3 linked regions of the Kluyveromyces lactis genome follow. The protein of the gene in region 3 purifies or fractionates together with the protein of the main gene of each other region. This does not show direct contact. Links are inferred from orthologs where the notes say so. Each region holds a gene or a part of one and is shown on either strand. Other genes may lie near its edges.

The links. The genes of interacting proteins can lie anywhere in the genome.
Region 1: the proteins of SUA7 (region 3) and TAF1 purify together in Saccharomyces cerevisiae (affinity purification with mass spectrometry; 3 studies listed by BioGRID). This does not show direct contact. The link is inferred for Kluyveromyces lactis from reciprocal best matches to the Saccharomyces cerevisiae genes SUA7 and TAF1.
Region 2: the proteins of SUA7 (region 3) and SSU72 purify together in Saccharomyces cerevisiae (affinity purification with western blotting; 4 studies listed by BioGRID, with this or other methods). This does not show direct contact. The link is inferred for Kluyveromyces lactis from reciprocal best matches to the Saccharomyces cerevisiae genes SUA7 and SSU72.

What each region holds. Positions count from the first base shown.
Region 1 is NC_006037.1:879,454-883,519, forward strand, and holds the start of TAF1 (histone acetyltransferase), read right to left. Parts: upstream 2,801-4,066; coding exon 1-2,800. Other genes in the region: RTT102 (Rtt102p), read left to right, coding at 3,357-3,818; RNH70 (Rnh70p), read right to left, coding at 4,014-4,066. UniProt on the Saccharomyces cerevisiae protein: Functions as a component of the DNA-binding general transcription factor complex TFIID. Binding of TFIID to a promoter (with or without TATA element) is the initial step in pre-initiation complex (PIC) formation.
Region 2 is NC_006040.1:1,644,774-1,647,122, reverse strand, and holds SSU72 (RNA polymerase II subunit A C-terminal domain phosphatase), read left to right. Parts: upstream 1-1,225; coding exon 1,226-1,849; downstream 1,850-2,349. Other genes in the region: cysteine protease ATG4, read left to right, coding at 1-793; GUD1 (guanine deaminase), read right to left, coding at 1,930-2,349. UniProt on the Saccharomyces cerevisiae protein: Component of the cleavage and polyadenylation factor (CPF) complex, which plays a key role in polyadenylation-dependent pre-mRNA 3'-end formation and cooperates with cleavage factors including the CFIA complex and NAB4/CFIB.
Region 3 is NC_006040.1:1,174,177-1,179,980, forward strand, and holds SUA7 (transcription factor TFIIB), read left to right. Parts: upstream 1-2,424; coding exon 2,425-3,498; downstream 3,499-5,804. Other genes in the region: RNA-binding GTPase NUG1, read right to left, coding at 1-1,493; YND1 (apyrase), read right to left, coding at 4,003-5,804. UniProt on the Saccharomyces cerevisiae protein: General factor that plays a major role in the activation of eukaryotic genes transcribed by RNA polymerase II.

The DNA of each region.
Region 1 (4,066 bases), on a different chromosome or scaffold from region 3:
GTTCTTCCAATAGTTTCTTTTGCTTCAATTGCCTTTCCTCTTCGTTCTCACCGCCAACAATGGTTATGTTATCGTTGATCAATTCATCAAGACCCAAATTACGCTCCGCCTCTTCACGCCTCTTTTCATACGCACGTAAGTAACCTTGAATGACCCTAGGGTCTCTGACTATAACAGTTTGTCGTTGAATGATACCGTTGGAATCTCTCTTCTTTCTAGTAATCCGTAACACTTTCTCGTCAGGTCTTGTCGAGGGAACATGCTTATTACTTTCATTAACGATATCTGGATCATCCATTTCTTCAAAGGGATTTTGAATGCTTAAAGACTTGGCTTGGTTATACCACGTCCTACTTATTTCTTCTTCATATGCTTTCTGTTGTTGCGCGACATTGTAACTATGACCACCAGCAATTTGCGGTTGATCCTTTGAACCGGATTTTACAAACCCACCCTTCATAGAGGTTTTCAAAAACGAAAAACCTTCACCACAACCAGTAGGATCACCAGGTCCATGTATTTGAATCATTGCTCTCATCTGTGTAGCATTCAAGAAATTCTTGGTAGCATTCCAAAATATTAAGTTCTCCTCCAACTCCTTAGCTCTTTCATCGAAGTTGTAGAAATCAATATCTTCCTGGAACTGTTGACCATAATACATGGATTCAACGAGTGAAACATCTTCAGGAGTAACCATTTTCTTCACGTTTTCGTTATCCAGTAAAACTTCTCCCTCCTTTAGTTTCCAGAAACCTTGATCATCACCTTCACGTTGATACTTCATGAATTCCTTTAATCTTTGTCTGTTTTGCATATCATTTTGTTCTGGGAAATGACGAGCCACCTGTTTCACTAACAGTCTGTTTTCCGGAGATTTGTTCAAAATACGATACACAACCATCCTCAAACGGTTCTTACCCATAGCAGTAACCTTTCTAGAATTCGGACCAGGAACTTCGACCACTGGGAACGTTTGACCGACAGCAAAGAGATGATTAATTTGACGCAAATAGAATCTGTTACCGGACCCATTACCAAGACTTTTCACCAGAAGGAAATCGGTCTTAGAGACCTCATGTTTGAAAACGGGGGCTCTGACCATATTGTTATATAAAGTGGGAACAATGTTTCCTGGACTGACGAAACCAAAATTCCAAAATGGTGATTTATCCTGCACACCTAATACATGAGTCTCACCAACGGGTAATTTTGGTCTGGAGCTGTCTGTTTCTCCCGTCTTTCTATAATAATTGATAAGCTTGTTAGCCATACCAAATTTAGATAACGCAACAGGTTGCTGTTCACTGTATTCCATCAGGAACACTTGAGCACTGTCACCAACAGTCAAGTCCGCAGAATGTTGGAAAATTTCGTGCACATCCTTACCTTTATCCTTCTTTCTCTTACGGGTCTTTATCTTACTGAACACTATGTTGGTACCAGGACGAATCCGTTTCCCGAAATGATTTCTATGAAAGTGTCTCAACTGATCTTTTGGTAACACAACTTTGTAGAATGGAGATTGTAGGCGCGTCGCCGGTTGAGAATGTTCTATATTCAAATTCGAAATTGTAGATCTGATCTTTTTTTGATAGTTCTTTTTCAAAATCTTGTAAGTGTCATCGTTAGAGATGTTGAACTTTGCTAGTAGAGATTTCTCATTATATGGTATTAGAGGTTTAACGACCTTTTGTGCCGATTCGATTTTATTCTCATTAGGCAAAATAAGTAATCGCTCATCATTCATATCAATTGGCGGTTCTTTAGCACTCACCTTACCATTTATGATATCATCTTCGTTCCATTCCCAGTCTTTCCCATCTTCTTCTAAAGTGTTCTCAACTGCTGGCGGATTCCTCTTGTTACTCGTCATTGGCTCCTCATTTTCTCTATCGTCAACAATTTTCTCATAATCCCATTCATCAGCTACAATGAGAAGATCTTCCGGTATCACTTCATCGTGCTCATCTTTCTTGTCATCTACAGTATCTTCTTTATATATCTCATCGTATGCTACTTTGATAACATTTCTTCGTTGAACTTCAGAGAACTCGCTTATAGCACTTTGCCAAGGCTTTACGCTTTTACTCCTCATCTTGAACAATTTTTTTGTATCCTTTTGAACTTGAAACTTCACTTTAATGGGTATGAGAGGTTTTAAAATTCTGTTTCGAAGGTATAACTCCCTTTGCCATTGATACTTCGCCAACGGTTTTGGAGCTATCTTGGTCATTCTTAGGACTCTACCCGGCTTTAGCTCAGGGAAATAAGACTGAAATAATAACTGTTCTTCCTTCGCATTTTGTTCCTCTTGTTTCCTTCGCTGTTCCTCCATTAACCTCCTGTGTTGCTCATCATATTCGTTAAATTGGTGTTGTTCTGGACCAAATGACTGATATGTGCTCTCCATGAACAATGCATTATTACCTTGTACTTCAAATCCAGCAGCGTCAACTTCATGCATCACATCACCATGGTCCATCAGAGTCATATATTCGTCGTCTTCAGTCAGACTCCGCTGAAACGACCCTTCATTATGCCTGTTCGGAGAATGGGATGGCTCTTCTTCCTCCGGTAATTCTTCATCTGCCAATTCATCTTCATCTTCAAAATCAATAGCATTCGGCAGATGCTCTGTTTCATCTTGCTTACCATTGCCGCCACCACTAGTATAATTACTAATATCTAATGCCCCAAACTCACCACCAAATAGAGCGTTATACGCATCATCTTCATTGCTGAAATCCTTCTTTGCCTTGCCTTGTTTCTTGCTTCCTGAGCTTCCAGCAACCCTAGGCATTTCGCAAAAATGGGTGTATTATGACTGGAATCAGATTAGAATTCTGTTATTGACAGAAATATTGGCTCACAGAGTTGAATGAACCTATTTAACCACCCTTTTTATGACTTCGAGCACTCTTTACTGAAATGTACATATCAGCTCTTCAACTTTGTTTAGATTTTGATATTGAGGGATCAATCCAGAGACCGGGTAACGTAATTTCAGTGCAATCCATGTAACATAAACCACTATCATGGCCCAGATTGGCCACTTCACTCGAATTAACAAGGTTATATGCAATGTGTAGCATGCACTCATCTCATTTACTGGCTTTTCGTTTCAATAAGTGGTTCGCTGACCTATTAATCGACCATTTTATCCCATTTAAGGTCAATTTTTGTTGATAATTCTGCCAACATGAAATTAAAGCCAAACATCAAGAGCTTAAAGCTTAACAGTGCGAGCAGAGATCTAAAGGTACAATGCGACAATCTTTTAGGTGTTAGATCGACTAACTCGGCCAATTATTTCAGCAAATTTACACACTGAGCCATATACTTAACAGAAAGTGAGAATGTCTTTGATAAGTAGGGCAAATCGTCTTGGAGGTTTCACGACCGATGCAAAGCATTGGGAATACGAATGGTCCACTACTGCTAAACAAAATGAAAATGGTACTGATGAGAAGGTAAAATATAAGTTCAAGCAATGGGTAAAAAAAGATCATCCTTTGAGAGATGTAGTTGAGGATGATACAGATGTTCTTAACTTAGATGAATTTGATAGGACGAAGATAGCTAAGAAAAATGCTCGTGTCCAGGAGAAAAGTGGCCCAGATTCACTCTCAATTAACGATATAAGAGGAGCTGTTGGTGGTTCTGACATTCCTGGGTTCTCAGGATCGGATGCTAAGAAAGAAGCCGAGAGTGAAGCTGCTGTTGAAACTCCTGTGGTTGAAACTCCAGCGGAAGAAACTCCGGCTGAAGATACACCGGCAGAGGTAAAAGACCAAGAAGGCGACGTAAAGATGGAATGATTCATTATATAACGATTACACCTATATACTGTAATTTTACTACGATTCATGGAATCCAGAATGTGGCCTGGACGCCCACTCTCGAATAAGATAAAGACAGTCCTTCATCCAAAGGAGGGCAAGCAGGAAAAACCATCACCGCTTTTGTTCTCCACATAGGACGTATGTGTGCGTTTGAGACATTACTATATAAAACTATTGGCTTTCATTATTCACGTTGTTGGTTTTGATAGTCATAAATGAGATGG
Region 2 (2,349 bases), about 470 kb from region 3:
TGGGCAGTGGTTTGGGCCAAGCGCAACAGCCAGAAGCATAAAAACATTGATTGAAGGGTTTCCCCTTTGTGGAATTAAGAATTGTATAATTTCAACTCAGTCGGCAGATATATACGAAGATGAGGTCACAAGAATTTTTCATAAGGATAGGGATGCTAATTTACTTCTGCTGTTTGCTGTCAGGTTGGGTGTTGACAAAATCAACAGCTTATACTGGAAAGACATATTCAAGATTCTCTCATCACCATATTCTGTCGGGATCGCAGGCGGTAAACCCTCGTCATCATTATACTTTTTTGGATATCAAAATGAAAATCTTTTCTACCTTGATCCACACAACACTCAGCAATCTTCTTTAATGATGGATGATCTTGAATTTTACCGAAGTTGTCACGGACACAAATTCAACAAATTGCATATATCAGAAACAGATCCGTCAATGTTACTCGGTATGTTAATTTCAGGTAAGAATGAATGGGATCAGTTTCATACTTATTTCAGAGATAGTCAAATTATTCAATTTTTGACAACCAGGCCAGAAAATGATTTATATCAAAGTGCCAATATGTCTGTCGGTTCTGATTCTATTCACTCATTGGAGTCAGACATACAGGACACTGGAGAATACGTTGATGTTGGAACATTAGTTTCTGGCAAACAAATGTCCTCCCCGCAACCAAAAGATGAAGAATTTGAAGATGTTAAATGCAAAAGCCAGCGAATAATCGTCTGCGAAGATCCAGCTGATCCTGAAGTTGAACAAGTTCTTGTCGAGGATTCATCCTCCTGCTGACTGCTGTATCTTCCTCATTCTTTGTTTAAGATATTATATTAAATATTAGTATCATTATATAATATGGATCCTTCGGCTGTCAAGCACCTAATTCAGCCACAAATAAGGACAGGCTTTGGTAATCGGGTGTAACGGAAGTGACCTTGAACTTATACTAATTACCAATCTATAATTCTATTAAGATTATTACAAGCGTCGCATTTCCGGGTAATATTATTATCTAGCTGCACATTGATAAAATTGACTTTGTTAAGAGCTTCAATGAAAGTTACAAGATATTCATAATTGGTAACCGAAATGGTAGACAGCCCATACTTGCATTTCATATTCAATTATTATAACTCTCATTTTCATACAGTGTTGTCTGCTTAGTGCTACCAGAATAGATAATTTGACTAAAAGTTATTACGAATCTAAGAGGAACTATTAGGCATGAGCGAATCAATGAGAAATAGCGGGCTTAAGTTCTGTACTGTGTGTGCATCTAACAACAACAGGTCCATGGAGTCCCATAGGGTATTGGAAGAGGCAGGGTATGATGTTTCTAGTTACGGTACTGGAAGTGCAGTTAGACTTCCAGGTCTCTCGATAGATAAACCAAATGTGTATTCATTTGGTACGCCTTATGATGATATATATAATGACTTGATTTCTCAAAGTGAAGATAGATACAAGCAAAATGGTGTATTAGAAATGTTAGATCGTAACAGGAAGTTAAAAAAAGCTCCTGAGAAATGGCACGATGGGAGAAAGGTTTTTGATTTCGTTTTTACCTGTGAAGAAAGGTGTTTCGACTCTGTGTGCGAGGACCTGATGAATAGAGGTGGTCAGCTTAATCTAATTGCACATATTATCAATATCGATATCAAAGATGATAATGAAAACGCTAAAATTGGTGGGCGAGCAATATTAAGATTGGCAGATATGCTAAGAGATAAAGTTTTTGAATGTGAGAAAAACGGAACTCAATTTGAGGATTTTATAATGGATGTCTTCACTGAATGGCAAGAGAAATATCCAAAACTACCACTAACTTATTCTGCTGCATATTATTAGTTCTATTTCATCTTGAGTTATATATCATGCTATTCTTGTTTTGCATACTTATTTCGATGGAATTGTAAGCTAACGATTAGTTAAAGATTTTGATGGCACAATTTTCCACGGACCCAAACACTTTTAACATTCCTATCATCACCATTAAATAACCATTTTGCCACAATATTCTCCAGTTTGATTCTATCCTTCCCGTTCGGTTGAATTTTGTCGTTGGTAACTTTTTGCCATGGAAAAATGGATACGTTGCTTCCTTTGGTGGATAAATCTATCAATTGTGCGTCAAACTCTTTCCCTACGTCGAAACTACCAATTTTATCAGACAGATTTAAAACTTTAGCACCACCCATGGTAGCTAGATACAATACTTCGGCGACAGATAGTTTGCATTCCTCTTTTCTTTCAGGATCTTCTACTGACATTGCTCGATGTCTGGAAACTAGTAAAGCTTGCCTAGCATTTTCCAAAATACTGACTGTAAAACCACCGGAAACATCAGA
Region 3 (5,804 bases):
GTTTGTTCCACCTTAGCTGGTGCTGCGACAGCACCAGTACCTAGAGTTGGTTGGTTAGCTTCACCAGATGTAGCAGCATGTTCTGCAGCAGATTCCTTAGAAGCATTGGGTAGAACCCATCCTAGGATCTTACCATCTCTCCAATCGTTAAGAACGGATATACCAGCGCTGGCCAAGTTTGGAACACCGCCCTTACCTAATCTACCTCTCTTACGGGCGATATGGATCAAGAATTGTTTGGTGAAAGAGTCTGCATCGGCAGCTGGGATAGGTGGTAATTCGTACAACTTCTTGAAACTTTCAGTCATTTCTTCAGATTTAGAAAGTCTCTTCACTAATTTGAGCACAGCTGGGTAAGGATCTATGATGAATTTTGGAGGTAGAGCGTTCAACAAGGCCAACTCTGCTTCTTGTTCCACTCTACTCATCTTTTTATTTTCACTTGGGAAACAAATACCTGGAGAATCCAAGATCTTTAGCTTGTTATCTACCTTGACTTCTCTCATAGATGTAGTGACACCAGCTTGGTTACCCACTGGACATGCTTTAGAAGAACCACCACGGCGAGAGGTCAATGCGTTAATGACAGACGACTTACCGACGTTTGGATAACCGATGACACCAACAACGATGGATCTCTTCAAGTTTGAATTATTGGAGTAAGTCTTCAAAGCTTCTAACAAGCTTGAAGCAGTTGTAGCCTGAGTCAAAGTCCTGTTGAAAGATGTGGAGTTAGTGGCACCAGGAGCAGCTCTCAATGGAATAGTAGGGAACGAGGATTTCAAAAAGGTTAACCATTGTTGCAACACGTATGGTGGCACTAAATCGATCTTGTTCAAGATCAAAATTAGTCTCTTACCCTGGGATTGAAGCACGGCCTGTTCCACTCTTCTCGATCTAGTTCCTTCTGGATCTCTTGCATCTAGCACGTAAAGGATAACATCGGACGCATCCACCACAGTCTTGAATATCTTATCGTAAGCCTTTCTAGACTTTTCTAATTCAGAATCATCATCATCTGCGTCAGCGTAAAAGTCTACGTCGTATTCAGCAACCTCTAAATCCTCTTGCTCTCCATTCATTGTATCATCGATACCTTCCCCATTGTACTCCTTTGCAGCTTGCTGAGCGGATTCTAACAAAGCAGAAAGACCATTGTTGCCGTCGTTTTCATCTTCATCCATAGATTCATCGTCATCACCAACATCTTCACCTAGTTCACGAGTTCTTCTCTTAGCCTCTAACCTTTCCTGCTTTCTACGTTCTTTCTCCTCCAAATCAGTTCTTCTCTTCGCTTCAATCTCTTCGATGATCCTGTTCTTGTACGGGAAATTGGCCGGAATACCTGGATCCTTACTCTTATTGGATTTCCATGTCACATCCTTCTTAGCAAGTTTCCGCTCTTTCCTATGTTGAGCAGCAGCCTTCTTCTTGATACCCTCCTTCATACGAGTGGAAGTTCTCTTGGAAGTTCTCTTTCTTACTCTCACCATCTCTTTTGATTAATGGAAAAAGGTATATTTACTGCACTGGATTATAGATATCTTAGCTGTTCCGGTGAACTTATCACGGAAAACAGTACTGAAACATCTACTTGAACAGGTGTTCTGTAAATATCAAGTCTCATCTCATCTCATCTCATCTCATCGCAGGTTTTAACATATTTCGAAGAGCTGAAAAATTTCAAAGTAGAAAAGAATTTCTTTTTGCTGGCGGACGACAGTGGAAACACAGTGGATACTCGTCAATTACGAGGCAATCTTATGCTACTCGCAAGCCATAATTTGTGTCAATAATATTTGGGACGTATTTGGTATATCTATGAGCACTTCCAGGCAGATATTTAACATTATATATACAGTAATACCGTCAAGGGCAGTGAAACTGTCAGTACATATAAAGGCAGCCCAGTAGCCGTTGCGCAGTTTTTTTTGACACTAGCAGGGAACAAAAATCATCTCAGTAATAAGAACTGATATAACGTGATATACGATACGAAGTTGCGAGGGTGGAACTTGTTTTACCACATCTCTCATCCTCTCTACTTCCAGTCAGTGTAGTAATAACTGCGAAGTTATTACTTGTTACCCGGATCTCGTGAAAATTTTCATCAACCGTAAACAAGAGACATGCCACGGTTGTTTCTGTGGCGTTTATCACGTGATATATATTTCCGTCGAGTTTCCAGCATTTTTGCTTAGAAATTGAGAAACTAAAATGATAAGGAGCTATCCAGTTGCAACTTACACAGTCTTGTCCGTCTACTAGTTGGTTAATCGGTATTTCTTCTGTTCTTTTATAACAAAAGCAGCGCCTAAGTTTAGTTATCTTAGCGGCTCATCATTCGACTTCTTACCGTTCAGTTTCCAGCTATTTTTTTAGGCTGTTCTGAGTCATATACCGAGGCAAGAGAAAAGAGAAACTATGTCATTGCCAGCAGCAGCTTCAGCAAATGTAGCTGTCTCATCTAGAAGGAGGGGGCCAAATTTGAACATTGTTATATCGTGTCCCGAATGTAAAGTTTATCCTCCGAAAGTTGTGGAACGGTTTAGTGAAGGTGATATCGTCTGTGCATTATGTGGGTTAGTCTTATCGGATAGAATTGTGGATACCAGGTCAGAATGGCGTACTTTTAGCAATGACGATCAGAATGGAGACGATCCAAGTCGTGTTGGTGAAGCTTCAAATCCTTTGTTGGATGGAAACCATTTAACCACACGTATCGGGCAGGCCCAGGGAAGTGATGCTAGAGTTACTAGGGATTTGAATAGGGCTCAGTCGAAATCTATCGTTGACAAGAAGGATAACGAGTTGCAAGCTGCATATGCGAAGATTACTATGATGTGTGATGCTGCAGAACTGCCCAAGATTGTTAAAGATTGTGCTAAAGAAGCTTATAAATTATGCTTCGAAGAGAGAGTCTTGAAGGGGAAATCACAGGAAAGTATCATGGCTTCAGTTATTCTTGTCGGATGTCGGAGAGCAGAGGTCGGGAGATCTTTCAAGGAAATCTTATCCTTGACTAACGTGCGGAAGAAGGAAATCGGGAAGACGTTTACCATCATCAAGAACATTCTAAGAGAAAAGAATGATAGAGGGTTTGCCAATATTGATACTTCAAATATCACCACAGGACAGACAAGTGCAGAGACTTTCATCCCTAGATTTTGTTCTCATTTGGGCCTTTCAGTGCAGGTGGCTAATGCTGCAGAGTACATCGCGAAACACTCTAAGGATGTCAATGTCTTGGCTGGTAGATCTCCTATCACCATCGCAGCAGCAGCTATCTATATGGCAACTCTACTATTCAAATTGAATATCAGTCCTACAAGAATCTCTCAGACTTTACAAGTCACAGAAGGTACCGTGAAAGGTGGATACAAAGCATTATACGAACACAAAGAAAAAGTGGTCGACCCACAACTGATAGAATCTGGTGTCGTGAAATGGGACAACCTTCCTAGAGTCAGTAATGACAAAAGTGAGAAGGCTAATTGATTATTAACAATACCCATTACAAAAACCCAAAAAAAAAAGAATATTAATACTAACATTAAAAAAAAATCAAGAAAAGAAAACCATTAGTTGGGAAGAATACCCAGTTTCCAAATTTGAATTGAATATCCTATAAAATTCTCGGATCAACTATAATATACATAAATTCTTTCCCTATCTTTTTCATTGCATCTAACACATTATTTGAACTTTATAACTTTCTTTCTCAGAAACTTAATTGGTGTATGATTTATTATACCTCGAGTTATGCAATTGAATAGATTTCTGTTTCGAAACTGTGTTTCAAGTCTATAGGATAAAGTATATGGACCTACGTACACGTCGAAAGAACCAAAAACTTAAAAAAAATAAAATACTTTAATGGATTTACTCTCGTCTTCCAATGTTTAAAGCATAGTTATGGTTGGCGTTCTTTCAGTAATGCAGATCTTTTGTATATTGATTAAAGGATGTTAATTACTTTGTATTCTTATGAAAGTACATATCTTAGTCTTTATTCGTGTTCTTGAACTTCGAGAAATCGGCCATTGAAAATACTGGTCTCATCCCTTGGTTCGGTAATGAAGTGTTTTTCCTATCCCTATCTGACAGTGGATAAGAATCTTTACTATCAAGGGAATCGCCTAAATTCATCATACTTCTACTTCTGAAATTTGAGCTGTTTTCCATTTCTTGACGACCAAATCTACCCCGATTAACGGTACCTTCTTCCAATTTTCCTAGCATGTCTTCTTCTTGAGCCAGTTTGCTATATGTTTTAAGTTTGCAGAAACTTGTTTTCACTGCATTGATACCATCAAATATCTTGTGTTTGGGGAATTGTCTAGCGAATCTGAATTTGCTAATGATAAGATATATCGAACCGAGCACTAATGAAATTATGAAAATGTGAATTATTGTTTGTTTCAATGATACTCCGAAGGATGCGTTATTGACTGGCTGTTGGAGGGACAGGATGGCTCCCGGAATGAATTGCTTGCCGTCTTTCTTTTCATCCATGGGACTTGGCATTATACCAACAGTGGCGCTTGCGTCTCCGGCAACGACAAGTCCCGAAGCGTACATTAAAATTCTACCTAACGTCCAGGTTACGTCTTGGTTGTTAATTTTTTCAACACTCTGGAATGGAACATGTCTATCATCGTCGCTTTTTGAGTCGTCTGGAATGTCTATATCCATCCTAGGAAGGTCAAAGCCCTCATGTAAGACGTTCAATATCCAGTTCGCCTTGAAACAACTATCCAGTAAGAAGTCATCTGGTATATTGTTGTACACTCCATTAGCGTTGTTCTCTTTCAACGTATTCCAATCAGATTCACAGAATTCTTTGACGTTCTTCGAGAATTCATGGAAATTATACTCCCCACTCATCTTGAACACATCATTTGCTGTATACCAGTACTCTGAAATACCCACAAACTTATCTTGTTCAAAATTAATCCTTGGTGCATGTACACCATTGAAGAGACAAGGTTCTTCTAAGCAAGGTAGATTGTTCAAAAGTAACGGATACATCGACTTCATACAATGTACAAAGTCACCAGCACCTGTGATTTCGAAATCTCTATCCTTGAACTCAAACTCGGTTTTTGCTCCCTTCGGTAAACATGGATCGCTAATATATCTTGTCTTGTAGTCGTCATCATCTTCCTCATTTGCGTTTTCAGGTAACGAATTAATTAGTTGAGCCAAATACCTAGACCTTGCCCTATTGGCTCCAAACCCCAACCATGTACTCACGAATACATCCCATTCTTGGGTGTCACCATTGACATTCTTCAAATATATGGTGTGCATATACTTTTTATGCCTTGCAATTTCTTCCGGGTCACTCGGCATGAACGCTAGTTGCGTTGAAGCACCTCCCATATCCATAAAACCTGACGAAGGGTGTTGTGCATATTTAGGATCAAAGTTGTCAAAGTTCCCCAACAGATAATTGAGACTTAACCACCCATATAAACCCTCTGTTTCCCCATCAATGATCTGAATTTGTGATGAGCAATCCTTCAATAGGAAGTTCGTATCACTTCTAATCGATTTACACAGTTCTTGCAAAATCAACTCTTGTTTTCTCTGAGGAAGTAATCTCATCCCGGCGGTAGCCTGAATGAAAACTGGTGTCTCGGAAACTTTATTTGCTGGAATGACGTCCTTGGCGAATTCTAAAAGCTGTTTTATGTGCTTCGAATAAGCCTTATTTGGTTTGTCCCTGAAACTTGATAGTCCAGGAGAAATCTTATGGGTCCAGTTTTTATCCTGACGAATTTGAGGGACAGACTGCAGTA